3 linked regions of the Cricetulus griseus genome follow. The protein of the gene in region 3 interacts with the protein of the main gene of each other region in a biochemical or structural test. Links are inferred from orthologs where the notes say so. Each region holds a gene or a part of one and is shown on either strand. Other genes may lie near its edges. The genes, in order: Pdhb, Pdk2 and Dlat.

Evidence for each region.
Region 1: the proteins of Dlat (region 3) and Pdhb form a complex in vitro, tested with the Homo sapiens proteins (2 studies listed by BioGRID and IntAct, with this or other methods). The link is inferred for Cricetulus griseus from reciprocal best matches to the Homo sapiens genes DLAT and PDHB.
Region 2: the proteins of Dlat (region 3) and Pdk2 form a complex in vitro, tested with the Homo sapiens proteins (2 studies listed by BioGRID). The link is inferred for Cricetulus griseus from reciprocal best matches to the Homo sapiens genes DLAT and PDK2.

What each region holds. Positions count from the first base shown.
Region 1 is NW_023276807.1:76,090,259-76,101,366, forward strand, and holds Pdhb (pyruvate dehydrogenase E1 component subunit beta, mitochondrial), read right to left. Parts: upstream 9,595-11,108; 5' UTR 9,510-9,594; coding exon 9,468-9,509; intron 9,396-9,467; coding exon 9,342-9,395; intron 7,640-9,341; coding exon 7,532-7,639; intron 7,439-7,531; coding exon 7,376-7,438; intron 7,286-7,375; coding exon 7,250-7,285; intron 6,959-7,249; coding exon 6,673-6,958; intron 6,310-6,672; coding exon 6,199-6,309; intron 5,766-6,198; coding exon 5,674-5,765; intron 4,518-5,673; coding exon 4,376-4,517; intron 3,964-4,375; coding exon 3,818-3,963; 3' UTR 3,051-3,817; downstream 1-3,050. Other genes in the region: Pxk (PX domain-containing protein kinase-like protein), read left to right, coding at 906-1,120. UniProt on the Homo sapiens protein: The pyruvate dehydrogenase complex catalyzes the overall conversion of pyruvate to acetyl-CoA and CO(2), and thereby links the glycolytic pathway to the tricarboxylic cycle.
Region 2 is NC_048600.1:108,203,543-108,213,599, forward strand, and holds the end of Pdk2 (pyruvate dehydrogenase kinase, isozyme 2), read right to left. Parts: intron 9,423-10,057; coding exon 9,351-9,422; intron 8,963-9,350; coding exon 8,778-8,962; intron 8,089-8,777; coding exon 7,999-8,088; intron 7,795-7,998; coding exon 7,717-7,794; intron 6,747-7,716; coding exon 6,670-6,746; intron 6,573-6,669; coding exon 6,474-6,572; intron 6,377-6,473; coding exon 6,269-6,376; intron 5,573-6,268; coding exon 5,459-5,572; intron 5,069-5,458; coding exon 4,928-5,068; 3' UTR 3,965-4,927; downstream 1-3,964. Other genes in the region: sterile alpha motif domain-containing protein 14, read left to right, coding at 943-1,062, 1,143-1,298, 2,166-2,321. UniProt on the Homo sapiens protein: Kinase that plays a key role in the regulation of glucose and fatty acid metabolism and homeostasis via phosphorylation of the pyruvate dehydrogenase subunits PDHA1 and PDHA2.
Region 3 is NC_048597.1:162,410,560-162,421,567, reverse strand, and holds part of Dlat (dihydrolipoyllysine-residue acetyltransferase component of pyruvate dehydrogenase complex, mitochondrial), read left to right. Parts: intron 1-2,543; coding exon 2,544-2,670; intron 2,671-5,212; coding exon 5,213-5,400; intron 5,401-6,552; coding exon 6,553-6,694; intron 6,695-11,008.

The sequences.
Region 1 (11,108 bases), on a different chromosome or scaffold from region 3:
GGGCAGAGCTTATTCCTGTGGCTGCATGCTGTCAGTGGAGAGACTCAGTTTCCAGAGCTTCAAGAGAGCCCTCCCGCACTCTAGCATTTCACTGTCATTACTCAAATGCCTCAAGTGCAATGCATCTACCCTTACTCCACCTGGGCTTCGTACCTCAGTAGTCACTTAAAGGTTACTGCCCATTATAACCCTGTAATGGAAAGCCAGGAATGTCTTCCACAATCCATCCTACATAAAAGCTAATTGAATTTCATTCATCGTTGAGCAAAACCAATGTAAATTACGTTGTATTCATTTGTCTGTATTTAATCTTTACGTATTGCTATGCTATCATTGAGAATTCCATGCTTGTAGAGCATGAGTTTGCATCTGTGTGATTCTTTAATTTCAGCTGCCTTGGGTTGGGGTAAAGGTATAAAAGAAGGTAAGTGGGTTTTGTGAATTGCAAGACTTTGGCCATTGCTTAGTGGAAAGGAGATAACTGAGTATTTTATTGGTGACCTTGAGCCATTCATCCTTCATCTCTATTTGTGGACAAGGTGTCTTGCCTGTTATTCCTGCTGCTCATAGCAGTGTGGTAATAACAGATAAGTAGGGTCTTAGAAGACCACAATGTTCATAACTGACACACATTAGTATGGCAGTGATGTTTCACTACTTTGGAAACAACAGTTTACCTAGTGATTTAAAGGAAGAACAAAACTTTAACAACAAAACGAAATTTAGGGACTGGCTAGATGGCTCCACAGGTAAAGGTGCAGGCCCCTGAAGCCTTAACAACCTGAGTAGTCTCTAGGACCTGCATGGTAGAACTGACTCTGCCACACCTTGTCCTCTGAGCTCCACATGCAGTAGCATGCAGGGCAGGTGGAATGGTGAGCACTGACCTCCGTTTTCCTCTACAGGGCTGTCTTCTGCATTACCTCCACCTCCACCACCACCTCCGCCTCCACCAGCAGGTCCCTCAACAACCTCAGGCACAGAGATGCCTGTCCCGCTACTGCCCCAGGATATGAATGGCGTGAACCGTGGGGCCTTGCTCAGCTCCATCCAGAATTTCCAAAAGGGAACTTTGAAGAAAGCCAAAACCTGTGATCACAGTGCTCCTAAGATTGGCTGACGTTTCTTGTTTACACTGGGAGGGCAAGCTCTTGGCTGTTCCACTCCCACCTAAGTCCCTCTTCCTAGGTGAGTCCTTACATAGCCCCCAACAAGTCCCTTCCTGGGGTGAGTCCTTGCAGAGCCAGTACAGCCAGTCTTGCTTCAGTAAGAGTCTTCAAGATGAAAATGCTCTCCAAATAAATAAATGGGGCCAGCACTGCTGCCTTAACATTTTGCTCCTTCGTGTGACTCTGATGAGCTTCCTTTAGGAACAGCAGCATATGGGAATCATTATTTTCACCAGCTAAAGGAAAATGACAAAGACAAAAGCAGTGGCAATATTCTGTCACAGCAGTGACTGGTCTATGGCTGTCCCTCCTACTCTATCAGAAGTGTTCTCCTAGCTCACTCCTCTGAAGCTTCTCTGGTTTCTTAGGTAGTTCACCTCAGACACTAACACTGTAACCAAGGCTGTCACACTGCTGAGGCAGAGAAGCAAGAGCTCTCTTCATTCTCTTTCACAGGACAGAGGGAATCTCACTGTGGCTGAGAACAGTCACGCTGGATTCATAGTTTTCTTAAGTTAGAATGTACCAAAACAAACAAAAACATTAACCACAGAAAAAGCTCCTGCCAGTTAAGGTATTGTCTTACTCCTCAGCATTTGTAGAGGGAGAGTCAGCATTACAAGTGAATCTGGCATCTATGGTGATCACTTCTGATTTGATTTATCCAACTTCAGCATCTTTTTTGATGTTACTCAGATATTAGAAATCTTTCATTCTGTGATTTGCTTAAACCTTTAAATAAGTTGCACTTTAAAGGATTATTAAAAAAATCCATTTTAAAATTCAAATACACACATCAGTGTTGGTTACTATGCAGAAAGAATGTCATTGTATATAGTATTGTAATCTGTGATACATACTCAGCTGTATTTTGTATTAAAATAAATCATGTGAAGAAAATGTTGTGACTTTGCTAGATATTTCAGATGAGAACTTCTACAGTATATTTTGTGAAGAAATGTAATCTCAAAGTATACTCCCTCCTTCTGTCACCTTACCTCCTTTGTAATTGCTAATAACCCTCATTATGTAGAAACCATCAGTGTATGCTTTCATAACTTGTTTAAACCAATCCTTTCCACCAAGTTCTAAAAAGGCTCATATATGACATATCTGGTTTTGGCACTGTGAGAAGCACCTGACATCAACCTTTTTCATTTCAAAAGATACTGTGCTGGGGATGTAAGTCAGTTGGCACAGTGCTTATATAGCACTGTATCAACTAAGCATGGTGCTGTGTCTATAGCACTTGGGAGGTGGAGGTAGGTAGTTAAAATCTCAAGGTCATCATCCTCTACTAATTAATGAATCTGAAGCCAATGGGACCTGCCTCAAAAAAACAAAAAAGGAAATAAATGAATTGTGAGGCTGTATAAGTGCTGTGTTGACTAGTGACCACTGATGGAAACCTGGATCCCAGCGCTTCTGCTTTCAGGTTTTTCAGTTTTGGGTAGTTTCAGATATATGAATAAAAGCAAATAGGGTCTGGGGGTGTGGTAGAGCACTCGGCTAACATGCTTATGGTCCTGGAAATGTAAAGACAAAAACAAAAACACTTTCAATGAGGGCCAGGTGGGGTGGCAGCTCTTGGGAGGCAGAGGCAGGTGGATCTCTAGGAGATCCTGGTCTAAATAGCTCTGGGCCAGCCAGGAAATACAGTGAAATCCTTCCAAAAACTAAGGAGGCTTTATACAGTATATCAAGTTATTTTCCATTTAACACAAATTTCTTAATAGTACTCCAAGACTTCCACATCCATTATTTCACTAATATAATAATAGTTATTCCCCGGGTGGTGGTTATGATAAAGCAGGAGGAGAACCTTGGCGAATCCCATGGCAGGCGAGGGTGACTGGGGCGGAGGGACACACACGCCAGGCAGACAGCTTAAATGAGAAGTTTTATTAGAAAGGGAAGGAAGGGGGTGGGGGAGAAAAGAGGTAAAGAGAGAGAGGACAGAAGAGAAGAGGGACAGCAAAAGTCCTTTCTGCCCCACGGGAAACAGCAGGAAAGAGAATGGAAGTAGGTGAAGTTTAAAGATCCAGGGTGTATACACCTGCCATGTGCAGGTGAGTGAGAGGCAGGACCAGGTTTGCCTGGATTACAACAGTGGTGTCAGCTGAGCACATGCCTTTAATCCCAACATTTGGGAGGCAGAGGCAAGCAGATCTCTGTTTGAGGCCAGCCTGGTCTACAAAGTGAGTACCCAGACAGCCAGAACTGTTCATAGAGAAACCTTGGGGGGGTGCGGGCGCATGATTACTCATAGGTAGAAATCCCCTTTATTCCTTATCAAAACAACTTAAAGCAAATGTAGATAATATACTTTTTAAACATGTATCTTCTGGGGGTATATCTTTCATCAGGACTCTGCAACATTCTTGCCCCTTGTAGTAAAAGAGGGAAAATATTTATATTAATCTTACTCAAAGACTAGACCAACCGTAACAGACAAAGAAAGTATAGCATCTACCGCGGGAAGTGGAGTTTTCCACTCATAAGCATATTTAAGCTTCTTATCAGTACAGAGACACCTGCTGCTGCTTTAGCATTGACTTTATAACTAGGAAAGTTTCTCAGTACACATCAGATGAAGTCCCAATAAGTATTTTAAATAAATTTCAATGACTTGATATTCAAAGTCCAAATTAGACATTCAGTGTCTTCTTTACTGCAAATATGATGTCTTTGACCTGAGGTATGGAGTTGTCTTCTAGGATCTTTGCATAAGGCATAGGGACATCAGCACCAGTGACACGAACAGCAGGAGCATCAAGGAAATTGAATGCAGGGCCTGGGGAAGAGAAGGCTCACCTTGAGAGGCTGATTTGGGACTCGGGAAGAGAAAACAAGGTAATCAATGAACCCTAGTTATAGGGCACTCTTTTGACTTGACTTCCTCAAACATTTACCTGAAGACAAAAACCCTAGACTGACAAATTGAAAGTTGTTCAGTCGACAGATGGTGGTAGCACATGCCTTTTTAATCCCAGCACTTGGGAAGCAGAGGCAGGTGGATCTCTGAGAGTTTGAGGCCAGCCTGGTCTACAAGAGCTAGTTCTAAGACAGCCTCCAAAGCCACAGAGAAACCCTGTCTCAAAAAAAAAAAAAAAAAAAAAAGTCATTTGGTCACCCCTAGCTTGATCTTTTCAAGTATGCTGTTTACTGCAGCTTGATGTATCCTAGAATAAGTTTCTTTGAAATACCTTCCATGATTCTGGCACAAATCTCAGCTCCCACTCCAAACTGTGGCCAGCCTCCTTCCACAGTTACAAGGTGATTTGTCTTCATGACACTGGCTTCTATGGCTTCAATGTCCATTGGTCTGATAGTACGCAAATTTATCACCTAAAGACAATGCAGTAATTAGGTAAATAGGCTTTATAGGATCCAAAAGACAAATACAGCCTTGACCCCAAAACATCCCTCTTTTTGTTTTTGCTAATCTCTGGATCTAGGAAATTGAACCCACCTATCAATGGGTACACAATCAGAGACTAAAAGGAAAAACAGTATAGTAGTGCAGACTTGTAATCCTGACACTTGGGAGGCTGAGGCAGGATGATCATGTTTGAGGACAATGTAGGCTATACACAAGACCTTGTCTTAAAAAGTAAATGAACTCATAAAATAGAAAGCTGTACTCCCATCACAGGAAGCTTTGCTCACCCTCCTTGGTTTCACCATCTATCAAAATAGTTGAGTGCTTAGTGTACACCAGGCCCTACACCATCATACCCCATGGAGTAGAAGTTCTATTATCCTCATTTTATAGCTTATGAAACACTTTCCAAGGAGAACTACTTGGTAGATTCTACGCAGATTCGGTTACTTTTGAAGTCCAGCTCTAAGACTGGATCTTGTGATATGTGATTGTGTATGTACACACATGTGAGGAGTCAGAGGATGACCTCAGGTTTCTTGTGCAATTGCTCTTTTGGGCTGGAGAGATGGCTCAGAGGTTAAGAGCACTGGCTGCTCTTTCAGAGGTCCTGAGTTCAATTCCCAGCTACCACATGGTGGCTCAAACCATCCCTTATGAGATCTAGTGCCCTCTTCTGTCTTGCAGGCATACATGCAGGCAGAACACTGTATAATCTTTATAAAAAAAAAAAAAGAAAGAAAGAAAGAGTGAATCTGGAGCTAACTAATTGGTTAGACTGGCTGGCAAGGCTAGCAAGCACCAGACATCCTCCTAGCAATGCTTCCCCAGGGCTGGGATAACAAGCTCATGCTGTCATGCTTGGATTGTTTGGTTTTTGTTTCTTTTTGAGTGCTGGGATGGATCCAAACTCTGGTCCTCATGCTTGCTTAGCAAGCTATCTCCCCAGACCAGCAAGACTGGATCTTGAGAAGGTTATTAAAAGACCCAGTGTGTGTGTGTGTGTGTGTGTGTGTGTGTGTGTGTGTGTGTGTGTGTGTGTGTGTGTGTGTGTCTTGAGAAGTTATTAAAAGACCCAGTGTGTGTGTGTGTGTGTGTGTGTGTGTGTGTCTGTCCACTTACCTCACATTCAATTCCCTCCTTAGACAGTACTGCTGCAGCTTCTAGGCAGTGGCCCACTGGTCTTGAATGGGCAACTACAGTGATGTGTGTCCCTGAAATACAGTGGTCACAGATTAGAGGTCAATGGAACTAATGTAGCACTGGTGATTCTGCAGCCAGCTATAGCTCTTATCAAACCTTCACCTTATTTCAGTGAGCTAAACAATGAGGTTGTATTCCTGGACATGAAATATATATGTACAGCACTCGGGAGGCAGAGGCAGGCGGATCTCTGTGAGTTCGAGGACAGCCTGGTCTCCAGAGTGAGTGCCAGGATAGGCTCCAAAGCTACACAGAGAAACCCTGTCTGGAAAAAAAAAAAAGAAAGAAAGAAACATGTACCAGACAGACGGGATTCAGCAAAGCCTAACTTGAGCTCATTTATCCTTTACTTTTTAAGTCAAATTACAAGGCAGTAACTTCTGACATATGCAAACACAAGAGCTACAGTAAAAATAATGGTTAATGTATACTAAGGATTCTTACCTTGCCTTTCAATTTTGGCTTTTCCTATAGGAATCAGAAAATCTTTTGACTGAGCTTCTGTAGGAAGTTCAAATGCAACTCCATACATTAGTTCATTCTCTAGCATCACCACTGCAAGACATTATAAGTTCTCAAATAAATAAACAAAAAATACTACAGACAAAATGACTAGAAATGCATATACAATGAAATCATTAATCTTCTGAACACTAAGAAGTCTTGTCTCTTTCAGTCTAGAAGCTTTAGGATGGGTTCCATGCTGACACATGCAGTTTGATCAATATAATTGTATATGCTAAGGTTAATGGGTGTGGGTGCACAGTAAGTAACCAGCACCTTACAGTGAGAAGGAATAGCATACTTTTTACTGTCTATAAGTCATTAGCACTTTTCATATGCTGTGCTACATCTCACTAGATGCCTTGATCCTCATATGCAAGAGTTCATGTCAGTTTTTAATGTTATTATGCTGACCTGGATTATCATCACGAATGGCCGATTTAATAAGTCCTTTTGCATCCTCGGAATTCCAGGGGCTGACCACTTTTAAACCTGGGCAGTGCCCATACCATGCAGCAAAGCATTGTGAGTGCTGAGCAGCTACACCTGCTGAGGCACCATTGGGCCCCCTGAATACTATGGGCACAGGCTGGAGGCCAGCAGACATGTAGTAAGTCTTAGCAGCTGAGTTTATAACCTGGTCAATGGCTTGCATAGAGAAGTTGAAGGTCATAAATTCACAGATAGGCCGCAACCCAGCCTGTCAAGTAGAAACATCAATGTTAAAAAGACTAAACAGAACAAGCAAGAGTGCTGAATAACCACTCCACTTTTCCAGTATTACAAACAATATTTTCTTTCTTTTTCTTTTTTTTTTTTTTGTTGGTTTTTTAAAACAGGATTTCTCTATGTAGTCCTGGCTATCCTCTGCTTCCCAAGTGCTGGGGTTAGGTTAAAGGTGAGTGCCACCATGTCCAGCTCAAACAACATTTTCAGAAGATAGTATTAAAGGAAATCTCCTTAGATGACCTTCATAAATAATAGTACATACCATAGCTGCACCAACAGCAATTCCAGCAAAGCCCATCTGTAAAGCAAACAGCAACGTAAGAAAACATCCACAGAAATTAAAACTGAATACTCAACTCGATTCTCAAAGCTGGTCTGGAAAGCGTACCTCTGATATGGGAGTATCTATGATCCTCTTGTCACCGTATTTTTTCCATAGGCCTCTGCTAACCTACAATTAGAATTTAACCCCATGACTTACAAGTGCTTATCAGGGCAAATGGGTACTTTTTAATTCTATATCAAGTTTACCTATTTCAGTTACCTTATATGCACCATCATACTGGGCAACTTCTTCACCAAGCAGAAATACCTTTTCATCTCTTTCTAGTTCTTCATCCATACCTTGATTAATAGCTTCTCGAACTGTCAACTGGCATAGGGGTATATAAACAGGAAATAAGCTAAAGGATTATTTAGATACTATGGAAATTCCCTTCCTTATACTTACCTAGGCTGCCCACAAGACAAAACATAATTAACACTCAAGCAGGCAATTCCCTTTAAAGTTCCAAGAATCTGAGGAGGCAAGATGGCCAAGTCTGATGAGTTTGATCCCAGTCACACATTATGGAAGGAGGAAACTGATTCCCTGGAAGTTGACCTCAAGTGCATAGATAAATGCGTATCATACAAATTAAAATTCCAAGCCAGGCGTTGGTGGCGCACGCCTTTAATCCCAGCACTCGGGAGGCAGAGTCAGGCGGATCTATGTGAGTTCGAGGCCAGCCTCGTCTCCAGAGCGACTACCAGGATAGGAGCCAAAGCTACAAAGAGAAACCCTGTCTCGAAAACAAACAACAACAAAAAAGTCAAATTAAACTTCCAAGAACTTAAAAAGTAACACTCTACCACTAATCCTTCACTAGATGTTAATGAAAACTTACAGAACACTGGTTGTACCATTTGATGCACACCCAGGCAACAACAACACACTGATGGAACCCTAAACTGTGTCACAGGCAGTTTCCTAAGGAGAAAACATGCTAAGTTGTTTCTGTCACTACACTTGGAATACTAAGAGGCAGAGAACTAGCAAGGAAATCTAAGTCTAAGCATTAAGCACTCACTAGTGCCCAACACTTGACATCCACAATGCAGGAGCTGCTGCTTTAATATGTAGAAAGGTTAAGTCCTCCACTTCTAAATATACTTATGCCAAAGAACTGAAAGCAGGGACTCAAGCATGTATCTGCAGCCGATGTTCTCAGCACCATTACAAACCCAAAAGGTGGGAACAAGCCAAATACTCATCCTTGAATAAATGTATACGATGTGCAAAGGCTATGACTCAACCTCTCAAAGGAACAAATTCTGATGTATGAATTTCACAATATGGATGAACCTTGAAGCTACTGTGAGAAGTTAAATAAGCCAGACACAAAAGAGCAAACGATCCAACTCATATAACATTCTAGAGCCAGCAAACTAAGGACTAAGGGTCCGGCCTTCCTGAGCAAGAAAAATACAAAATGGTCTAGAATAGCAGAGTAGTGTGAGTTATCGTGTAACAGCCGGTAATCAAAAAAACTACTAAGAAATGGACAGTGTATATGACGACCGCAGTCGATGCCGCTGAACTTGACATTTTAACCTAAGGTTTTTTCTTTTTGTTGTTGTTTTTGTTTTTGTTTTTTTTCTTTTTCGGTTTTTCGAGACAGGTTTTCCCTGTATTGTTTTGGAGCCTGTCCTGGAACTAGCTCTTGTAGATCAGGCTGGTCTCGAACTCACAGAGATCCACCTGCCTCTGCCTCCCGAGAACTGGGGTTAAAGGCATACGCCACCAACGCCCGGCTTAACCAAAGGTTTTAAAGTTGTATTTTTACCACAACTTCGGGTGTATGTGTGTGTGTGTGTGGGGGGGGGGTCAGGGAAAGCGCTGGCTGCTTGTTAGACGACCTCCGGCCTCGCGGGGGACGGGTGTCAGCTTGAGAGGCGCCGGGCGGGGACACAAAGTGCGGTTCATTCGCAGGGCTCAGCCGCTGCCAGGGTCGGCGACGCCACCCTTCCACCTCCCGCCCGCGCCCAGGACCGAGGACTCCCTCCCGGCCTTGCTCAGGGTCGGAGACGGTTACCTGCAGTGCCGCGGGCGCCGAGCGGTGAAAACGCCGCTTCACAAGTCCAGACACCTGGCCGGGAGAGAGAAAGAGGTTCAGGGAGGGCCCGGGGCCTGCCGCGGGCGTGCGGGGGCCGCCACCTACCTGCCGCCAGGGTCCCCGCAGCACGCCGGCCAGCGTCGCCATCTTGCCCGTGTCCTCTACTGGCGGCCTAATGACAACACAGAAGCTCCGCAGACCGGGCCTGGCGCAACCAACGGTGGGGCGTGGCGAGCTCAGGGCCCGCCCTAACCCGTCAGCCGAAGCCAATGGAGAGTGACGACTGAGGGCCCGGCCCTCCTGAGCAAGCCAATAGCAAGGCGCAATGCCAAAGGGTCCCGCCCCTCGGGCTAGCAAAGGCCTCTGCGAGCGTGGCCAACGAGAGGGGGCGACGTGTGCGAGTCCCGCCCACCTGGGCAGGCGGGAGCCGGCGGAGGTGGCGTGGAGCAGCTGATCTTTTCTGACCCGGCGCACGCACCCGAGAACGTTTAGCAGACAGCCGGCTGCAGCTGCTAGCACGCGGTGCACACGCCCCTGGCTGCTGCCTGCCTGCCCGCCCAGGTGCTGAGACTGGCAATGAGGCCTGACCGAGGATGGAGGGGCCTTAAGGCCACCCCTCCGCAGACACTGCGGGCCTTGAGTACCGCGTGGGTGGCTCTTGCCCACAGTCCCGTGGAGGAGAACTAAATAAAAAGGAAAGGCATGGACATGACGGCTCCTCGGTACGGTGAAGGAGAAAGTTTATTATACAGATATATGGGAGAGCATAACCAGAGGCTGAGACATCTGGGAGGAGAGCCCTCGCCTTTGTATGGATGGGCGCGGTCCATTGACTATAAACAATAGCTTTCATGTAAGCCTTGCGTCCACTGTGTGCCAAGCATTGTGATGTGTACTTCATAAGTGATTGTAGGTGGTTGCTGTTATTTTTATCTGCACTTAGGCATGAAGATGTGAGGAAATTGTTCTGATCATGCTGAATTTAGATGGCAAACCTACGACTCAAATGTGAGACAAACGGCCCGTGGTTCGCCTATTTAACATATCAAAGTGGGCCTGGCTGCCAGGTCCTCCCAGCATCCTTCAGTTCCTTGGAATGACTTGTATGTCTGGCATACCCTACCCTGTACCCTGAACTTTCCAGCCCAAGGTCTGAGGTGCCCTAACCCCCAGAGGCTCTTTCCTATATAATCCAGACATTTTGATTACCGGCCCTTTTTTACCTTACTGAAACACCTGGCTCCCATTTCCCCTCCTCTCCTCACATGGCTCAGCTCAGCCTGGTCACGTCCACTCTGAACTCTCCCAGGTGTCTCTGCCTCTGGCTATGCTCTCCCACATATCCATAATAAACGTTATTCACCATACCTAGGAGCAGTCGTGTCCTTTTTCTTTCTTTCTCTCAATACCCAAATGGGAGAAGTCTGAAGCCTAAAGACTTGGTAGGGCTAGAGATAGACATTTGGGAATAGCTGCTTGGATGTGGTCTTTATTTTCTGTATTCTATCTCATCTGTAAATGGAAAAATGCGATCAACCCCTTCCAGATCTCCCTCACTGCTGTCATCAGGTGGTCACTTTGTATATCAAATATGAGATGCGCGGTGGTGACACACACCTTTAATCCCAGCCCTCAGGAGGCAGAAGCAGGTGAATCTCTGAGTTTGAGGCCAGCCTCACCTACAGAAAGAGTCCCAAGGCAGCCAGGACAGCAAAGAAATCCTGTCTCGAAAAAACAAACAAACAA
Region 2 (10,057 bases), on a different chromosome or scaffold from region 3:
CTCCACTCAGCATCATGTGGGGACACTGAGCCCCCACTGCTCACTCCGTCCGTCTGAGGCCCCCTTGTTTCTTACTGTTCTGAGTCAGGTCTGGACCTCACCATCAAGAGCTAGCCACCTGCATGGTAGGAAGTTTTAGAGAGAGAGAGAGAGAGAGAGAGAGAGAGAGAGAGAGAGAGATGATCGGGACTCCTACCTGGTGCTCTGGAAGCTTCAGACCCTAGGAAACGAGAACCAGCAACACAACCAACACTAAAGTCTCCTTACAGACCACTATATCTTCCAAAGCTCAGGATTCATGTGTTGCTTTAACTGTGATGTAGGCAGGGCAGGCATTATCTGCACTGCACAGATGAGCAAATGAGGTCCAGAGAAAAGGGACTTGCTCACAGATGTACACAAATGTGTATGGTGCCAGGGCTTAGGAGATTCAGAAATCCGGGGGTTCGGGGAAGAGACCCTTCTGATGTGCAGCTTTGGTCTTTAACCACCCTACATCCTTCCTCAGTTGCTCCCATCTTTCCTTTGCACTGGTCCTAGGGGACACCCATGCTGAGTGAGACTACAGCCCAAGTCCTCACAAAGATCCAAGGCCAATGAGGGTATCCTCCAGCCACTATGCAAGAGGCCAAGGAGAGGGACTCCATGAAACAGGGACAAATGACCCAGCCTTGGGGGAATCCTGGAGGGCTACCTGAAGGCAGCAGCACCTAGTCCCTCCACTCCTGTTAATTCCTCTGCTCACCTAGTGCTAGCCTCTGGGTAGCCAGCTCCCTCCTAGAGATCTCAGGTTCTGATGTGTCACTTAAGTTCTGGGTTCATGACCAGGAGCATGGAACAACTAATGGTGTCTAGTCCAGCATTTAGCTCCATCTGGTCAAGGTGATGGGCTCGGGTTTGGGGGGATGAACTTGCTCCTCAGCACACATCCTTTCTGTCTAGGAATCCACCCTGAGTGATGACTCCACACCTCCCAGCAGCAGCCCCAAGATCCCCGGTGGTCCTCGACAGGAGACCAAGTGCTCCTATCCCTACCACACGTTGTCCCAGTCTTCAGATGAGGTGAGCCAGGCTAGTCTTTGTGCCTGCTGGGGACCTGGCCACAGGTTGGGCTTCCTTTACTCTCCCCATCTCTACCACAGTTCCTGGACGAGTCCCTCCCTACCATACAACACTGGACCAGCCAGCAGGTGGGCCAGTGGCTGTGCAGCCTCAACCTGGAACAGTATGCTGCTGAGTTTGCTGCCCGACAGGTGGATGGGCCACAGCTCCTGCAGCTGGATGGAAGCAAACTGAAGGTAGAGTGCAAGGCTGGCCAGACTGGGGTAGCTTGCAAGGATAAGGACCCCCTTTGTCCTGACTCATGGCTCTGACTTGTCTCCTGGACTGATCTGGGGTTTCCTCTCCCTGTCTAGCCACTGACCTGGCTTCTGACCTCTATGCAAGGGTCTGCTCTAATCTTTGCAATGTAGTTTGACTCCCTAATCTGACTTGAAATTTAAGCCCATGAGCCAGGCATTGGTGGCGCACGCCTTTAATCCCAGCACTCGGTAGACAGAGGCAGGCGGATCTCTGTGAGTTCGAGGCCAGCCTGGTCTCCAGAGCGAGTGCCAGGATAGGCTCCAAAGCTACACAGAGAAACCCTGTCTCGAAAAAAAAAAAAAAAAGAAAGAAAGAAAGAAAAAGAAAAAAAAAAAGAAATTTAAGCCCATTATCTGTCTCCATTTGACCTTCTAGCACCAGCCTGGGTGTTCAGGTTGACCTTGCCCTTTGGGTAGCCAGGCCTCTTTTCTGGCCAGCTCCATGCCATATTTAGTCTCAGAGCCTGATGGTAGGTTCCTGGGTTTGAAGGACCATAGGAAATCTTCAAGTGGGAGAGACCTTGCCACCTAGCAGTGTGACCTTGAACAAATCACTCTCCATCTGAAGGACCTCAGGAGGTTGGGCACAGTCATGGCACCGAGGCTGAGGATCTGGAGCCAAGGATGGGGCACAAATGGCTTAGTGCCAATTGTCCTCTCTATGACCACTTGCAAACCATTCCTCTTCCCTTGAGGTCCAATCCCTAGGCAAAGGCCATACTTCAGAGCAGACTCCAGGGGTCTGCAGGGAGTCCATGGGAGGAGTGTTCTGGGCTTCTTTCCTTCACCCTGGGTTTATTCCAGAGCCTGGGGCTTAGCAACTCGCATGACCGGGCACTGGTGAAGCGGAAGTTGAAGGAGCTGGCAGCGGCTGCTGAGAAGGAACGGAAGGCGCAGGAGAAGACTGCACGGCAGCGCGAGAAGCTGCGACGCCGAGAGCATGAGGCTAAGAAGAGCTAGGGATGGCTGGCCGGGGGGGCTGGCACCCCAGAGCACTTGCAGCCACCTGCAGGGGCCTCACCAGGGAAGTAGGGTCTAGGTACCAGGTTCTTTGGGGCATATGACCCCTCTCACCCTGTTTGGACCGAATCCTCTGGAGGATCCCACGGAGAGGGCCCAGTAATAAACCCAACTTCGAGGACTTGTTTGGCACAGATTTCCGGGGGGGAAGCAGGTGGCAGATGAAGAGGCCAGGAATGCAGCAAATCTGGAACCCAGAGGAGCCCGGTCCAGGCTGAACCTCTTCCCTCTGGCTAGAGTGGTACTGAAGAGGAAGTGAGCTAGCAAGAGAGGCCCTACCATGACCAGAATCCTTAGGCTTAGAGAGCAGCCTGGGCATCCCAACAGGAGACAGAGCTGTGTCTCCTCAGCTCTTGAAGGTGGCTGTGTGGTAGGAGAGCAGCTCTCCCCAGAGAGGCCAGTGGGCACTGTAGTAGCAACACTCAGGGTAGATTCCCAGACACCTCCTCAAAGGAGAGAAGAGCGAGCGGTGGAGGGTAAGCTAGCCTCTGTAAGGACTGCAGAGCGGGGAGAAGGGGACTCTTTCTCTCTCCTCTTCACTAGCCTGCAGGTCCCAGCAGGCAGGATGACACTGCTCCTCTCCCACTGAGTCAGGAGTGGGTGGGTCTTTGACCTTTTGCAGAGCTAGAATCGACTTCTTCAGAGAGTGCTTGAGGCTTCTTTGGGGTCAGGATAAATGGGAGCTGATGGGGACATAGGACACACACACACACACACACACACACACACACACACACACACACACACTAGTGCCTCGGTGGCACTGAACTGGTGACTCTCATCACACTAGCCGGGCAGAGGCACAATCTGAGGGTGGCCTGGAAGCTGCTGGATCAGAAGGGTTCATCAGCTCCCTAGGCCCCTTGGGTGTGTCAAGGCCTCAGTGAGCCTAGAGCTGACAAACATTGCTGGCTCAGGTTTGCTAGGCTACAGGGAGGACTGGGTCAGCCCTGGGTAGGTCTGGCATATGTCCTTTGTAGGGTACTTTCAGAGACAGAGGGTCCAGATGCCATGCTGACCCAGCTTCTCAGGTGCTGGTCAGTGACTACTGGGCCCAGGAGGTTTCTGAGAAGAAACCCCCCACCCCTCCCAGCTTCCCAGAGGGGTGGATAGGACCTGCATGCTAACTCCCTCTCTCCTGCCTGATGAAGTGGCTGATGGCCAGGACCCTGTGCTTGGGCTCAGCCATTGCACTGGGAGAGGGGCTTCAGAGGGAAACTAAGGTATAGGGGCATTGGCACTATCTAGACTGGGTGGGGAGGGTGGAGGCCCTACTGTCCCGAAAGCTGTCAGGAGCCGAGTGTGCCCCACCTGCATGTGAAGGGGGAATATGGTTCTCAACTTCTTTCAATAAATATTTACCATACACCAATGATCTTTCTGTTTGGGATGAGGGACTAAGCTATGGCTTGCATACCACTGGCCAGTGGGCTGCCAGGTGTTCTCAGTGGATGGCCCTGCCTTGTGGTATGCTCTGGTTGCTAGCTAGGCCAGTTCCTGAGTACAGTTAGTCCTAGAGGACCAGTCTTCACAAGTGTTCATGTGTGGACTCACCCTCCCCCAGCAAGGCAGCCAGTCACCAGTCTCATTTCATCTATTTACTGTGGATGTCACTGTCACCATCCCAGCCACTGGGAGGGGCACACGGCTTTAACCCCTGTGTGCTGAGGGGAAGGGTGAGGCATTGAAATTACAAAACTGGCTATGTACATAGAATGTTCTAGGGATGAGTCACCTGTGCACACGTTGTGAGCACGGGGGTGGGGTGGGGTGGGGTCTAAAGCTCAGGCAGGATGGGGGGGGTGTACACTCGGCAGGGGAGTGCACATGTGAGGACATGCTGGACCAGGGTTTAGGAAGTGGCACAAACATTGCCAAGATTGATCGATCGTCTTGGAGTCCTGGTGGGGCAGGTTACTTCTCAGCCTTCCCAGGTGCCGCTACTTTAGAAGTGGGCCTTGGGTAAGAATGACTTCCCACTCTCATCTCAAGTTCCCAGTTGCAACCTTAATGTCCAGGGTATTGACAGAGAAAGGCTGCAGGACCAGGGTCAAGGGTGCACCCTCTCTCTCCATCTTTTCTCCAGACCTGAGGGCACTCCACCCTTCTTAACATCAACAAAGGACACAGCCCAGTATACCTGTACAGGGTGTGGGAATAAGGCAAGCAGGGCAGCCACTCGGAAGGCCAGGACTATGCAGGCAGTGACGGGGACCCAGGGTCTCTGGTAGAAAATTGACAGCTCTGGTCTTGTGAGAACTGCCGTGGAGAAGTGTCTCTGGGGTACCCCATCAGATACAGCCATCCCCAACCCTCAAGCATCACCATGGAGACCAGGCTCCACAGAAACTCCCTAGGTTTCTCTGTAGAGACAGATTGGCACTTAGAGACCACCACAGATGGGTCACTGAGATTTCTACAAAGACAGACCTGGCCATTAGGGAGACCCAGCTTCACCCTCTGTACCCCAGGGGATAGGGAAGGTCCCTGTGGTGGCTGGATTCAGAGGTGGCAGCATCCTCCCAGGTGCCAGGGAGAGAAGGCCCCTAGCTGACCCGATACGTGGATGTGTTCTTGGGCTCCGTGCTGGGCACACACCAGTCACCGGCCTCCTGGATGGTCTGGTAGTGGCGCCAGGCAGACTTGTTGTAGACAGGCAGACGCTCCACTGAGTCCGTGGACAGGGCCTAGGGAGCACTGCCATCAGTTTCCTTCTTTCCCAATCCTCAGCACACTACCCCTTCCCACTGGGCCCTGATGCTCTCCACCCCTAGTATCCTAACCCATGTCCAAGTCAGCCCCATAACCAGACCCACAAAAACCCCTAAAAGGGTCTGAACCTTCTGTATCTTTCTCTGGTCCATTCCAGAAAGCTGTTCCCTCAAAAGTCAGGGAGGTAAAAAGAAGAGAGGGGGAAGGTTGGGCTGGGTGGCCTCTATTAATCACCAAGGCATTCCCTCTCAATGAAAGGCCAAGTTACAGCACTTGAGGAACCAAGGCTCAGCTCTGAGTCTGGAGCCAGGATGAGGGATTGGTAGAAACCTGCTAGCAGCAAACTTGCCCCCAGTGGGCCTCACCTTGAGATATATGACAGCATCTGTCCCAAAGCCCTCCATAGAGAAGAGCTGCAAGTCTCCTTGGAAGTACTTGGCGTAGAGGCGGGAAATGGGGAGTCCATACCCAAAGCCAGCCTGCAGACAAGCCACAGGTCATAAAGTGAGCCAGGGATGCCTGACTAGGGACAGGCAGGAGTGCTGGAGCAGGGGTGGAGAAGGGAATTCCTGGAGCAGATGAGAGTAGGTGGTAGGCAAGGGAATTGCAGAGAAAGCGGGGAGGAAAGCTGGACAGGGGAGCTCTACCCATGAGCTCCTTAGAGCCCCATGAGCTCCTTAGAGCCCATTCCGATATTTTTTCTTCTTTCTTTCTTTCTTTCTTTTTCTTTTTCTTTTTTTTTTTTTGTGTGTGTGTGTGTGTGTTTGTGTTTTGAGACAGGGTTTCTCTGTGGCTTTGGAGACTGTCCTGGAACTAGCTCTTGTAGACCAGGCTGGTCTCAAACTCACAGAGATCCCCCTGCCTCTGCCTCCCGAGTGCTGGGATTAAAGGTGTGCGCCACCACCGCCCAGCTAGAGCCCATTCTGTAAGCACAGGACTGCCTAGTCCATGGGAGGTGGGACAAAGGTGCCAGCAAATGAGCAATGCAGCAGAGAAAGAGGGAAGAGAGAGCAATGCGGACAAGCGACAGCTAAGCCATGGGCAGATGATCAGCAGGAAGGAGCTATTAGCAGCAGGAGGCTGTCACCACACAACCACTGCGGGGGTGGGGGATGTGGAGTATGCTTGGGAGTTAAGAAAGCAGGAGACAGGGAGACTGGAAGAAGTCATCTTACCAGTGGGGTACCCCCAGTGCCAGGCTGGGGTGTGGGGGCTGTGGAGTACATGTAGCTGAAGAGCCTCTCAATCTTCCTCAAGGGGACACCCCCACCTCGGTCACTCATCTGGGAGACAAGGGACATGTGAGATGCCTTCCAGGGTTATCTTCACTCCTCACCCTAATCCCCATGACCTCCCATGGTCAGGTCAAGGGTCACATACTTTGATGGACAGATCTTCTTCACCCAAGGCTACCATAATCTTGATAGGAGGGAGGGTGAGGCTGGACTCGTGGCTCTCCACCGTGGCCCGCATGGCATTCTGGGGAAAGTATGAAGGACACAGTAAGGGAAGCGCTGCTAAGGTTGAGGGCCGAGGGCTGACCCTCCCAGCCTCCTGAGAAGGGCAGCCTTCTTACCTTGAAGAGCTCAAAGAGCATGTGGTAGAGGTGGGAGGGGACGTAGACCATGTGAATGGGCTGGTTGGCATTGGTGGCTGTGGAAGTCAAGAGCACAGCAAGGTAACCTTCCACAATCCTATCTACGGTGCGGGTGTGACCCTGCAGCCCTTGTTCCTTCAGAGCAGCCAGCCCTCCCTCTCTCCCTCCCTCCTTCCCTCTCTCCCTCCCTCCCTCCCTTCCTCTTCCCCTAGCGTGAGGCTGTGTGCCTTCCAAGCTGCCATAGCTAGTAATACTTGGACAGTACAAGTTCACTCTGATATTCTCAGCTCCCTGGGGAGCGAGTACTGGCTCTGACCACTCCACCTGGGGCTGGCCACCCAAAAGCATCTCTCTCTCTCTCTCTCTCTCTCTCTCTCTCTCTCTCTCTCTCTCTCTCTCTCTTTCCGAGACAGGGTTTCTCTGTGTAGCTTTGGAGTCTATCCTGGCATTCGCTCTGAAGACCAGGCTGGCCTCGAACTCACAGAGCTCTTCCTGCCTCTGCCTCCCGAGTGCTGGGATTAAAGGCGTGCGCCACCAATGCCCGGTCCAAAGGCATCTCTTAATTAAGCCACTGCATTCTGGGGAGGTGTCCCTGTTCACATCACTCTCCCTGGCCTTTGTCCTCTGGCCCCACCCACATCATGTCCTTTACTTACTCACTATGTTCACTTATAAGGACAATGACATCAGCCTGTCACCTACGAGGCTCTGAAATTACATGTTCAGTGGTTAACTGTTACAGTTCCCAACCGCCCCAGCACCAAGAATGTCAGCTCTGTGAGGGCAAGAGCTTGCCTATCTTTTTTACATGATGCAAGTGCTAAATAATAAGCAGTTTTCCAATAAATTAATAATTTACAATGGCTCCCCTCTAGGGGAGCCTGGCCCTCCAGCTCCCCTACTCTGGTCTGTCCCCATTGCTCTGAAACACATGCACACTAAGTATATGCGAGCACACACACACACACACACACACACACACACACACACACACACACACACACACACACACCCTCATTTGCTTACCATTAACTTCCTGGATCTCTAGATCAGGTGAAGCCATGTAGTATTTGTCACACAGGAGCTTGGCCATGTCATAGGCATCTGAGAGGAGAGGGAACCACTCAGGTTATGGGTGGCTGACCCGGCATGCACTGACATTGGGCATCACCAACATGAAACCCATGGGGACATGCCCGTCCCCCACCACCACCATCCACTGGGAATGGGTCATCCTCTGGCCAGGTTATCTGGGAGGGAGGGGTCTCTGGAGCTCCTTTTTGGGCCAGGCCTATGGTGGGGGCTCACCTTTTACCACATCAGACACGCTGCAGTTAGGGTCAATGCTGCCAATGTGTTTGGGGTGAGCTGGGTTGGTACTTCCATCAAAGATGAGGGCTGTGGGCAGAGAGAAGGGCACTGTTGATTAGTTCACAGGACCTAGCCCTCTGTCTTTCTAAACGTCCTGCCCTTCACTTATCTGTAAGCCTCTGTACACTCCATGCTAATCATGCCCCCAAGTCCTGTCTTCCCCCTAGTTCAGGCCTCCCCAGGACTCCGCATCCCGCAACACTCCTCCATAGGCGTCTCCCACACCACGCCCTGCTACATGTACTTATTTATTTATTTATCTATTTTTTATTTTGTTTTTTCGAGACAGGGTTTCTCTGTGTAGCTTTGGAGCCTATCCTGGCAATCGCTCTGTAGACCAGGCTGGCCTCGAACTCACAGAGGTCCGCCTGTCTCTGCCTCCCGAGTGCTGGGATTAAAGGCATGGGCCATCACTGTCTGGCTTATATTTATTTACTTATTTTAATTTTTTTTAACAAAGTCTCACCATGTAGGTAAGCTTGGCGTCAAACATATAATCCTCCTGTCTCAGCATCCCAGGTGCTGGGATTGAAGGCATGTGCTTCCCACACCTGACTTAAGCCAGTAACTCTTCAGTTCCTGAATGGTACTTGGGCCTCTGGGCACAGTGGCTGAAGTGGGGAGCCCTGCTTCCTTCCCTGTCAGGGGTGGTGCCCCTTCCTGGCATGCCCTACCAGGACCCCTTGCCCTCCCTCTCCGAGGCAGCCAGAGCTCACTGTGCTGGTTGATGAGCATGCGGATGGAGATCCGGCTGAGGTAGAAGCGGTCCAAGAAGTACTGAATGTTCTGGTTGGACACCGGGTCATCGCCATAGGTGTCCTTGTACTCCAGCACTCCCTGTGCCATGGTGGGCACTACGTCATTGTGCCGGTTCCGGATGGTGACCAGGGCATCGGTGAACCTTCCGAGAATGCAGTCATCTGTCCCTACCCAGTCTCAGGCTTGGGGGTACCCCTGATTCTCTTTATTCCAACTTCCTTTCAGTTCCCCAATTTTCTCTATCCTCCCCAGCCCCACGGAGACACGGTGCTCACTCACCGTAAGCCCACCCTTATTCTCCAGCTGCCCATCCATCTTCCTGCTTACCGCTAAAGCTCCCAGTCCCTCTGAAAGTCTGTTTCTGAGGGCAGGGTACTGATAATTGGACTCTGCATCTCTCCCCTCTGACCAGGATTTCCCAGAAATAGCCTGTCTCCCCCTTTATCCCCTGCACCCAGCTGGCATTCCATCCTTGGGGCCCTGACTGAGATACCCTTGCCTTCTTGTCCCTGAAGAGGGTGCTCACTCACTGGCTTAGTGTCCGGTGATCCTCTGGATCCTTGTCCAGGAATTCCATGATGTCCAGCAGACTCTGGACATACCTGTGTGAGAGAAGGGGCCAGCTGAGACTACACGATGCTCCCTCCCACACCCTCAGATGCAGAGAGCTGAACCCGCTGACAATCAACACCCCATTTTATTGGCTCTAGGTCTCCCTGACAACGTAGTAAGTTGTACAAGGAAACCCCAAATCTGCTAGTGCTCTCACAGCAGATTCTTTGCTTCAGAATCCTATAGCAGCAACCTTAGGAGGGACCAGAAATTACCCCCTCTTAGAGGATAGAACAGTGGACTGAGGCCCAACTGTACCAAAGACCACAGTAACAGAGGACTCAGACATCTACCTGCCTTGTTGAGCAATGTTATAGACACCTCCCACAAGGGGCTAAAGCTCCCATAAGTGGACTATGAAGGCAGCTGGCAGGCTAGCTTCTCCCAGGGCCTCTCCCACAGTGATCTGGAACCTGCCTAGGGAACCCCAGTTTATAAAGGTCAGTATGTGTGGCTAGCACATAGGTAGGGCCAGGGAGGCTCACTCTGCCCTGCAATGAGCAGGGTGGTTGTGAGTGGGCCCTGCTGTCTGTTCCACCTATAGGCTTGGCCAGAGGGGCAGGATCTCCTCTCCAACTAGGAAAGGTTAGAAAACAAAGCAGAGCCAGTGTATTGAGCTTTTACA
Region 3 (11,008 bases):
TCCAAGTGTGTGAACTTGGACAGCTCCTTTAACCTTTCTTAGCCTTAGCACAGGACACAAGATAATACTTGGTTTTTCTCTCAGAAACAATAGTAGAGATTATGAAAATAATTTTTTTCCGATACAAGTAGAATTTGTAATAGAGAACAGGTGATGTCTGTTGAATGAAAGTCCCCAGATGATGTTTTCCTTTGGTTTAGAGTGGTATATTTCCAAGCATGGATGGAGCATTCCAATAATACTCATAAATGAGAAAAGTAACAATAAAGAATGAGTGTGAATTGGCAGTTAATAATATCATTGGTTATTCTTCCAAAGGACCTTGTTTGATTCCCAGCACCCACAGGGCATCTCACTATCTGTAACTCCAGTTCCAGGGAATCTGACACCCTCACACAGACACAAATGTGGGCAAAACACCAATGCACATAAAAAATAAAATAAGTCATTTAAAGAAAGAAGTATGGATTAAGTGTACAGAATAACATTATAACAAAGCTAGTGTCCGTAAATGTCCTTGCCATGAACTTAAATCAGCTTTTAATAAACTAAAACATGCTTCTTTTTAAAAGTAAATTTTCTTTCCTACACATAATCTAATTACAGTTTCCTGTCCCCCAACTCCCAGATCTCCCCACTTCACTACCCATCCAAACCCATACTTTTTCTCTCTCTTATTAGAAAAAAAACAGGCATCTAAAAAAGAATAATAATAAAATAAAAATAAACTAGAATAGGACAAAACAAACAAACATGAAAAAGCCAAAGAAAAATCACAAGAAACATAGACACCAAGATATACATACTGAATGAGTTTATTAGATACTAAGGTTTCCTCTGTATTTATGTGTTTTTTATGTAGGAAGTAGGTAAAATCTAAAGAATTAAGATTTAGCCTTTCTTTAACATTTTTGTTTTTATAATTTATGTATTTTTATTTTATGTATATTGGTGTTTTGCCTGTGTGTATGTTTGTGTGAGGATGTTGGATCCCCAGGAACAGGTGGTATAGACAGTTGTGAGCTGCCATGTGGGTGTTAGGAATTGAACCCCGGTGCTCTGAAGAGCAGCCAGTGCTTTTAACTGCTGAGCCATCTCTCCAGCCCCTTATGTTTGCTTTTTTAAGACAAGGTGTAGTTGGATTTTTCTTTGGGAGGACAGCGAACAAATAATGACATGAAGATTTACTATTAATTATGAAACCTCAGCTTTAGTTTAGGCTTGCCCCACCAGCTCTTATAACTTAAATTAACCCATTTATATTAATCTGTGTTCTGCCATGTGGTGTTACTTCATCTCTGTATTGTCCATCCCTCTTTCTCTGGCTGGTGACCCTGCCCTTCTTCCCAGACTTCTCTCTGCCTGGGAGTCCCACCTATACCTCCTGCATAGCTATAGGTTGTTCAGCTTTTTATTACACCAGTCACAGCGGTACATCTTCATAATAGTGTACAAATATCCCACAACAACAGGGTTTCTCTATAGCCCTGGTGGTGTGCCATCACCGCCCAGCCTAACTTTACTTAACTTTATAGGAAGTTATCTTCCTTCCTTCCTTCCTTCCTTCCTTCCTTCCTTCCTTCCTTCCTTCTTTTCTTTTCTGTTTTGTTTTTCGAGACAGAGTTTCTCTGTGGCTTTGGAGGCTATCTTGGAACTAACTCTTGTAGACCAGGCTGGTCTCGAACTCACAGAGATCCGCCTGGCTGAGTGATGGGAACAGATCTCAGGTTCTATGCAAGAGCAGCAAGTGCTCTTAACTGCTGAGTCATCTCTCTAGCCCTTAATTAAAAAAAAATAAAAATTCTTGTATCTAGTAAGTGTGAAATAAGTGTGGTCTCTTATGAGTGAAAAGATAAATAGATACTCATTGCAGAACACAGCAAATTCTACAGAGTGGTTTGTCTAGACCAAGATCATTCTGTGAAAATGAGAAGTATCCTTCGTAACCTAGAGCAGCAGTTCTCAACCTTGGGGTAGCTTAGTACATATCTTACATATCAGATATTTAGATTAAAATTCATAACACTAGCAGAATTTCAGTTATGAAGTAGCATGGAAATAATTTTATGGCTGGGAGTCACCACAACATGAAGAACTGTATTAAAGGGTTGCAGTGTTAGAAAGGTTGAGAACCCCTGTCCTAGTTGAAAAGAGACTTCGTATACACTGAGGAGCTCATTTTGACCATCTGAAAGAAATCCTTCTTACCTGCCTGTTGGTTTTAACTTCGGAGGATGGGTTGGGGTAACTGGTCAAGTATAATCACCCTTGTTCTGAAGGTGACTTAACTGGTGGAAAGCTTCTAGGCATAGATTCTTGCTGTGATGGGTAATTTGGTTTTGTGGTTGTGGTTTAATTTTGAGCCAATGTCTCACTGTGTAGTTCAGGTTGGTTTCAAACTCATGATCTTTCTCTTCTGCCTTTTGAGTGTTGAGATTACAGATTAATTCCACCAGAGCTGGGTGTGGCAGGGATTGAGTGACCCCAGAACTCTTTTTGTGTGCGGTGCTTCCTGGCTAACCGTGATGCCTTTGTTTCTGCAGGTACTTCTTCCTGCCCTCTCCCCCACCATGACTATGGGCACGGTCCAGAGATGGGAAAAGAAAGTGGGTGAGAAGCTCAGTGAAGGAGACTTACTGGCAGAGATAGAGACTGACAAGGCCACTATAGGTGAGAGTTCTTCAGTTCTTGGTCGTTGAGTGAGGAGGAGGATGGCCATCCTTTCCTGTACTGAGTGAGTGATAACATGAATTTTGTAATTCCTGGCATAATTTAAACAAAGTCATGCACAGTCACATATGTCAGTTCTAATCGATGTACTAATCTACAGTTCTAAGCTGTACTAATCGATGGAGGATATGTCAAGATTTTTTTCTTAGGCCAGGGTTTGCCATATTCTTATGATACTCAGAAGTTGTCCCAGAACTGCAATTGTCTAAACGTAGGAAGGAAGGGAGGGGGAAGGAAAAAAGTCCCCTGCCCCCCCCCCCCCAATCTGGGGCAAGAGAGTACCAAGGGATTTCCAATGATTGTGAGGAAAAACAGACCCCATGCCTGTCAGTCTTCACGTGTATCACATTCCCATGTTCCCCTTCTTTGATTTATTTTATTTTCAGAAACAAAATCCATTAAGCAGCTGTATATTTGTGCTTGTATTCATTGATAATCCTAGGCATTATGAACTTTTTGCCACTCATCCATAGTTTCTAGAAGCAAGAGGCCCACCCATGCCACAGAGTATGCATAGCAGGACCTAGGAGGCATGAGGAAGTAGAAGTCACGGACAGTGAGCGCTCTTTTCACCCCTGCCGTTCTTAAAGAAGCCCAGGGCAAGTGTGAACCAAAGAGTAAGACCCTCCCTCCCACCAGAGCAATTCCATCTTTCTTTTCACATACTACTTCCTCATAGTTTTAAAATGTGGATTTTTGTTGTTTGTTTGTTTGTTTGTTTTGAGATGAGACTGGCCTTTAATCTGCAGTCCTCCAGCCTCAGCCTCCAAGTTCAAGTGCTGGGATCACAGGCTTGTGCCTCACTGCCTGGTTCCCATAGCATTTATTAGAAGAAATGGTTCTGTCTTAAGAAAAAAAAAAAAGCAAAAGGCCAGCAAAATGGTTTGGTGTGGGTAAAGGTGCTTGCCAAACCTGAGATCAAAGGTTTGCACACCCTCTGCCCAGCTTTATTGAGTTGTCCCAGTTGGGAAATGGAAGGATTCATTAGAGATGTGTTCATCAAGGAGAACAGCAGAGAGCAAGATCCAGAAGGCAGAACTTGCCCTTTTCAGTAACTTAGTTTTGCTTTTTAAAATTTTTAGTTTAATTAATTGAGTTAATTTCTGAGACAGAGACTCACTCACCCTGGATGGCCTGGAACGCAGAGATCAGAGTGCTAGGATTAAAGGCATGCACCACCATGCCCTGCTGGTATTTCTTTACAGGGAACTCGTTGCTATGTAATCTAGTCTGGTCTTGAACTTTTGAGCTTACTATGTTGCTTGGGTTATCTTTGAGCTTGACATCCTCTATTTCAGCCTCCTGGTGGTGGGGTCACAAAAAAAACAGCCCCCCACCCAGCTTAAAGTTTCACTTTTATAAATCTAAGTGTTTGAGAAAAATAGTAGCTGAATGGCATATTAAGTGTTGTTGCAGGGACCCCAGTGTTGCTGTATTTCCTCACATTGGAATATCTAGCATAATGTCAAGTTCAGTCTTTGAGAAGCTCTGAGAACACGTTTAGTGCTAAAATCCCACGCTGCTGTCCTGCTTGGTAATTCTGGTAACTCAACTTCCGTGGAACTGACTTTCAGCAGTGCATCTGATACCATCTTAGAATCCTGTGAGTTCCACATAAGGACTGCCCTGAGGTGTTTTCAGTAACTCTCATAAGGAACCGCTGTCTGCAGCTCTGGTAGGACAGTACAGTTATCTCAGTATCCACAAGGGATCGTAATGCTCCAGAAAAGTCATCCCTATATGCTCAGCACAGGTGCAATTCTTTCCCAAATTATTTTGGCCTCAGGATTTGGAGAGCTGACTGCATTGTTTTGTTTACTCTGTTCCAGGGACTGTTCCTAAGTTCTTAAATAACATTGATTTAAATCATTTAAACCATAACATTTGCATGAGGATGATATAGTCAGTCATTTCTTGGTATATGTGTAGTCAAACTGATTCAAGGATGGAAGTCTATAGACTGGAGTTCCCTGTATAAGTGGATACAGTATTTGGGGGGCAGGGTGGGGGTCACTGGGATTGAACCCAAGGCCTTGAGCAAATTAATAGGACCTCTATTACTGAGCTATGCCTCTATTCAAGTATACTTTTAATCATTCCCAGTTACTTGTAATGCCTAATACAACAGTGCTGTGTGAGTAGTTGTTACACTGTATTACTTAGGAAACAGTTGCAAGACTAAAAAGTGTATGTGCTAAGTTCAGATCTCCATTGGCTAACTACATAGTACAATGTAACATTTGACCTACAGTTGAATGAATTTAGGGATGCAGAATCTGTGGACAGAAGTTGACTATACTATTCCTGGTTCCATGTTCCCGTGTTAAAGACTTGAAACAGGGACACAGAGAGGTTAAGCAGCTTGTAAAAATAAAACCGAACCAATGCCAGTAGTGTGAATGTGAAAAAAACCTTTTACCTGAAACTCTGGTGAATCTGTAAGAACGTCTTGAGTACCATAATATTTTCCTTTCTTCTTAAGGCTTTGAAGTACAAGAAGAAGGTTATCTGGCAAAAATCCTGGTCGCTGAAGGCACAAGGGATGTTCCCCTGGGAACCCCACTTTGTATCATAGTAGAAAAACAGGAAGATATAGCAGCCTTTGCAGACTACAGGCCAACGGAAGTGACCAGCTTGAAGCCACAAGCACCACCACCTGTCCCAACCCCGGTAGGTATGCTTCTGAACTGGAACATTATCCTTTCAGACAGATGATAGCCCAGGCTCCTGTGTGTCCAGATCCTACAAGCAGGAAAGTGCCCAGCATCTCCTATTAACCTGCGGTGTATAGCATGTGCCGTCCACCTGATGGTCAGTAGTTTGCCTCCATCTTGAGTCCTGTAAGAACAAAACCGAGTTACATATTCTTCTGCTTTCAGTGTGAAGGTCATGCCCACGGGAGGTGATGCTCTCACTCTACATTTTCTGTTGCTTTATTAAATACCTGTTGTTATTTTCAGTTCTGGTATTTGTGTATTTTTTTGTAGCTGATGAACGTGTGTTTTGGACTTGGGATCCTGATCTGACGTGACGTGTAGTAGCATCATACACTCGTGCTCTTCAGCATACACCTCTGAGGGTTTAAAAAGGTGTACCTTTCCTCAGCCGAAGCTTGACTCCTCACTGACTTATTTTGATGGGGATGTTGTCAGGAAACAGTGTAGTCCATTCCTTAAGACACTCGAAACATGGGACCTGGTGGTATCATTTTATATCCTGAAGTGAGGTTAAATAAAGGCAGACATGAGGTTAGTTATACTCTGAAAATAATGAAGTAGAAGAAGCTAGGTGTGTGGTGGTTCCAATACTTGGAGAGGCTGAGGCAGTAGGATCACCATGGGTTACAAAGTCTCAAAGTGGGGAAAATGACAGGTGACAAGGATGTTATACACAGGTCTGATGTGTTTATCTAATTATTCTTTATTAATAAAGAATCGGGAGTCAGAAATCGGGGTAAGAACCTGAAAGATCAGAGAGGCAGCATAGCAGACACCAGTCATCTCCTATCTCTTCCGTTCCTCCATCCAAAAGGCTGAGATCCTCTCCCAGGCCCACCTGTCCTCAGCCCTCCAAAACCTCTATGGTTAATGGTTTTGGTCAGCTAGTGGCTAGCTCCACCCTCTGACACACAACACTGGTTAGTTTAATTCCATACCTCTCCTGATATTGAGACTTGTGTGTTAGTCCAACCAGAAAAATGCATTATGTTCTTAGGGGACGAAAGTTACTAATTACAAAGACTTTTACTGTATAAAATATGAACCTGTGTTCTTTCAGATTATCTTTGCAGTAATGAGTGGATACTTTTAACTTTTTTCCAAGGTGGCAGCTGCTCCTCCCACTGCCCAGCCTCTAGCACCTACACCCTCAGCCCTTCCTGCTGGACCAAAGGGAAGGGTGTTTGTTAGCCCTCTTGCAAAGAAGTTGGCAGCAGAGAGAGGGATTGACCTCACCCAAGTTAAAGGTAAGTTTCTTTCTAAAGAAAGGAGTTACAAAGTTAAAGTTTAGCTGTCCATAAGTTTAGTTAAATGCTGTCCATAAGACCAACACATACAACTGTGTGGAACATAGATATCTTTGTTCCTTCATGGAGCAGGGAAATCATTGTATTTTATGTGATCTGTCTAGTGTTGCCTATGTAATTTGTGTGCCTTTAAAAATGTTCCTGTATTTAGAGGAAATCTTTAAAAGCAGTGCTGAGAAAAGGAAACTTCCCTCCACATTTGTCCTCAGAACTCTGAGGAGCTCCTTTAATCTTTCAGGGACCACAACTCAGGGAAGCTCTGGTTTTGTGGATTTGGTACAGAAAAGAATTTCAGGACTTGTCAGAATGAAGCTGAGTTGGTTTTAGTAAAAGTAGAAAGGCATTCACAAGCTGGTTGTGGTGGTACCCACCTTTAATACTAGCACTTGGAGGCAGATGCAGGTGGATCTCTCATTTTGATGCTAGCCTGGTTTACAGAGAAAGTTTCTAGAAAGCCAGGACTGCACAGAGAAACTGTCTCAAAAAATCAAGAACAACAATGAGAGAGATGAGGGAGGGAGGAAGAGAGAGAAAGAGAAGGAAGGGTGCTCATAAAATAATGAAAGAATGGTGTAGTTTATTAAAAGATATTTTAATGAAGATTTTTAAAGCATGAGGGTTAAGAGAAATAATAATATATACCCAAGTATAGGTATGGGCTTTTTAAGGGAGAGTCATAGTAGGTCAGACATACCCAAGTGTAAATGTGAGTCCACAAGGGAGAGTTGTAATTAAATGTCCTACCATTAGCCATGTGTACCACTTTTGTAGCTCTTTTCCCTCCCTCCTTCCCTTGGTAATAAGATTATGGGGTGGCTCTGAAGGTGCAGTGGATGTGATAAGGAAAAACCAGGAGTGCAAGGGTTTTAGTGTTGGTCTACTGTGGATAGGGTTTCTGATGAGCTTCCTAGAATATTTCTGGTTTAGCTTTGGGAAGTAGGAAAGGCCTTCAGCAAATGTTAATTGCTGGAATCCTTGCTTCTCAGCTGGTGAGGGGCTACTTTTATTTCTCCTGTCCCCCTATTTCTCCCTGTCTTACTTAATTGTTGGCAAAAGCATATGTGTTTGTTGAGCAATATTAAGTTTTAAGACTTGCTGTGTGATAAATCTCAGTGCTACGGTGACTGAGTGTAGCAATACAGGGCTGGTGAGATGGCTCATCAGATAAAATGCTGCTGATGACCTGAGTACTGCCCCTGGAACCCACATGATAGAAACAGAACTGACTCCTATGTACAGTGTGTCACCTGGGGGTTGAACTCAGGTCATCAGTGTTGGCAGCAGCAGCCTAACACATTGAGCCTTCTCAACAGCCAATTCTTTCTTTTCCTTTTTTTTTTTTTTTCATTTTATACTGAGTGAGGGTTGAACCTAGGATCTCATTCATAGTAGACAAGCATTGTAACAAGTATATTCTTAGCCCCTCTCTTTACTTTTATTTTGAGATATCGTCTCAGAATAAAAACCTTGCCCAGGCTGCCCTGTCTTCAGCCTCTTGAGTAGTTAGGCTCACGGGCCTGACCCACCAGGTCCTATTTTAAATTCTGTATTCTTCCCAATACCCTGTGCTGCCTGTCCCTGCTCTACCATCCATAGTCACTGAAGAAAACTACAATTATGTCCTCTGATCTGCAGCTGTGTGCACTCGGTCTGATTCTCACCCACTACCAAGCTGCCGTTTTTTGTTGGAGGTCAAACTGATCTGAAAACAAAGCATCAGTTTTGCCATTCTTTATACATTTTTGCTTAGTATTGAAGACAAGTTTAAGGCATTTCAAAGAGCAGAGGGGCTGTGTTAATAACTGCCTGAAGAACTGGACTGGTAGGGTCATTTGTTGAAGAGTTAGCAGCACTGGTTATTTTACTAGAGGGATAAATTGAAGTATCCCAGTATTGTTTTCATGCAGGCAGGGTTAATCAGTCCCTTTATTATTAGCTAAGCAGATACACACAGAGTGCCATCTGTGTGTATAAGATGGAAAAACGTTCTGACTTCACTGGCCAGCAGTGGAGGATGAGTGAGCAGAAGTGTACTGGAGTGAAGAGTGGGATCCAGAGCTGACTGCTCAGGTTTAAATGTCAGCTCTGCCGTATGCTAGCACTGTGACCTTTCCTGACTCTGTAACTTGTATATAAAAATAATACTTAATAAGTTGTGAAGATTAGTAAGTAAAGAGTGCTTGTGCACAGAAAACATGTTAGCTCTCCTGGTTCTAAATTTCCATTGTGATCTGAGATGATGTAAGAGCTAAAAAGGAACAGACTCAATGATAAACCTGTCTATGAGTGACAGTGACAGGACAGGGTGGCTCTGTGAGGAGGCTCTTTCCAAGGAGGAATCACCTGTGAGCCAGCCATGTGAGGTACTGAAGAAAAGCTTTTTGGCAGAGGTTGGTATGTCAGCAGCACATGGTCTGGAATCATACAAACCTTGACATGCCTGAGGAACATAACAGAACATGTAGAGTGAAGGGGAGAGGAGAAGATAAGGGTGAGAAGAATTAAAAGCAGCTGGGTCTGATAGATCGCACACACCTGTAATCTAGCTGGGCAGAATCAGACAGAAGGAAGGATCTGCTGGTCTGGTTGTTCAGGGCCTCCTGGGCTACAGGCGAGCTAACCACTGAGGCAGCTGGGGCTTAAGTACAGTGGTAGAGCACTTGCCTAGCATTGTGTGAATGCTAGCATTCACACGGCACAAAAATATCTTCAGTTGTTTCCAGGGTACCCTGGGAAGCAAAATGCCCTCCTTGAGAATCTGGTCCATTAGAAACATTTGGGGTGACATAGGGCAGAATGATTTGGCAGAAAACAGAATTCTTTAGAATATAAAAGGATTAGCCTTTAAGATTATGGATGGTTGGTTTGGTGGTAGGAAATAAGAATCCCTCCCTGCTATGGTCTGTTCTATAATTTAAGGTTATCTGATTATCTTGGGAAGTGAGTCTGGGAAGGGTGGGCTTGGAGAGATTATAGAGCAGTCTTCTAGGGCTGGGGACAATGGAAAGGAGACAGTTGGGTTCTGGGAAGCTTCTGGGCTTCTGTCTTAGCTTTTCAGTTCTAAACTGAGTTAGTCAGCCAAGTCTGTGCTTTCTATTCCAAGCAACATTGCTTAATGAGAAGATAAGCAGGTTCTAGAGTTTTGCAAGGGAATGAATGATTCTAACAGTAGTCTGAAGAATGTGATTTGGGCAAAGGAAGGAAGGAAAGTACAGGGACTAATGGCAGCAGGAAGGTCAGGGCTAGTGAAAGTGGAAGGAGTCGGAGTGTCCTTCATTTTACTTAGTTTTTTTTGTACTAAGAATTGAACTAGGCTTTTGTGCCTGTGAAGCAAGTTCTGCACCACTGAGTAGAGAGGGGATGAGGTTGATAAGACTTTGCAGTGGAGGGTGGGAGTGGCCAAGGCCCAGTGAGCTCAAGATCCATGATTGTGTGGTATTCCTAGCACCAAGTATTTGGAGTTTTTCCATATAACCACCAACTGAGTGTCCAACAGTTCAGTCCAGTTCTGACATGAGACTATGGAGTAAGACCGCTCAGATTGCTTTTAAGTACCCAGGGCCACCTGCTTGTGTAACTCATTAACAGAGAATTAAGGATTGCCAATTCTCCTTGGGTTTGATAATTAGCTAAAATGACTGATAGACCTTATTTATATACTATTATTAATCTATTGTAGAGAGTACAGCTCGGACATAGCCAATGGAAGAGATGAATAGGACGTAGTATAGTGGGGAGGGATGCAAACAGCACCCATGTGTTCTCTGGGCTTGCCATCCTTCCAGCACATGGCTGTCCTCACCAACTAGGAAGCCCACTGGTTCTCACCATTCAAAGCAATATTTTCAGAGGGGTGTCGTCATAAAGACACCGTTGACAAAATCATAGGCCAGTGTTCATTGAACTCAGCTCCCAGTCCCTCTCCCCTTAGTGCAATTAGTGCAGGAAGCAGAAGAGTTGGAGGAGGAGATGGGGAGGGAGAATAGAAAGAAGATTTAAACTTCTATCACCCTTTAATCAAGTGTTTGGTCTTACTAGTCCTTATCCAGAAGTCCTGTCCTCAGTGACCTCATTACTATAAACTGGTGTGTTGTAAAGAAGCTTGATTAAAAAAAACACTTATTTTTGAGCAAATTGGAAAGCTTTTGGAAGGTGCATGGCAAGAGCTTGGAACAAAGACCATACATATCTATTTTTCTCATACCCCAGTGCTTGCAAAGAGAAGATTGTTTTTGTTATGGATTTCAGGGATTT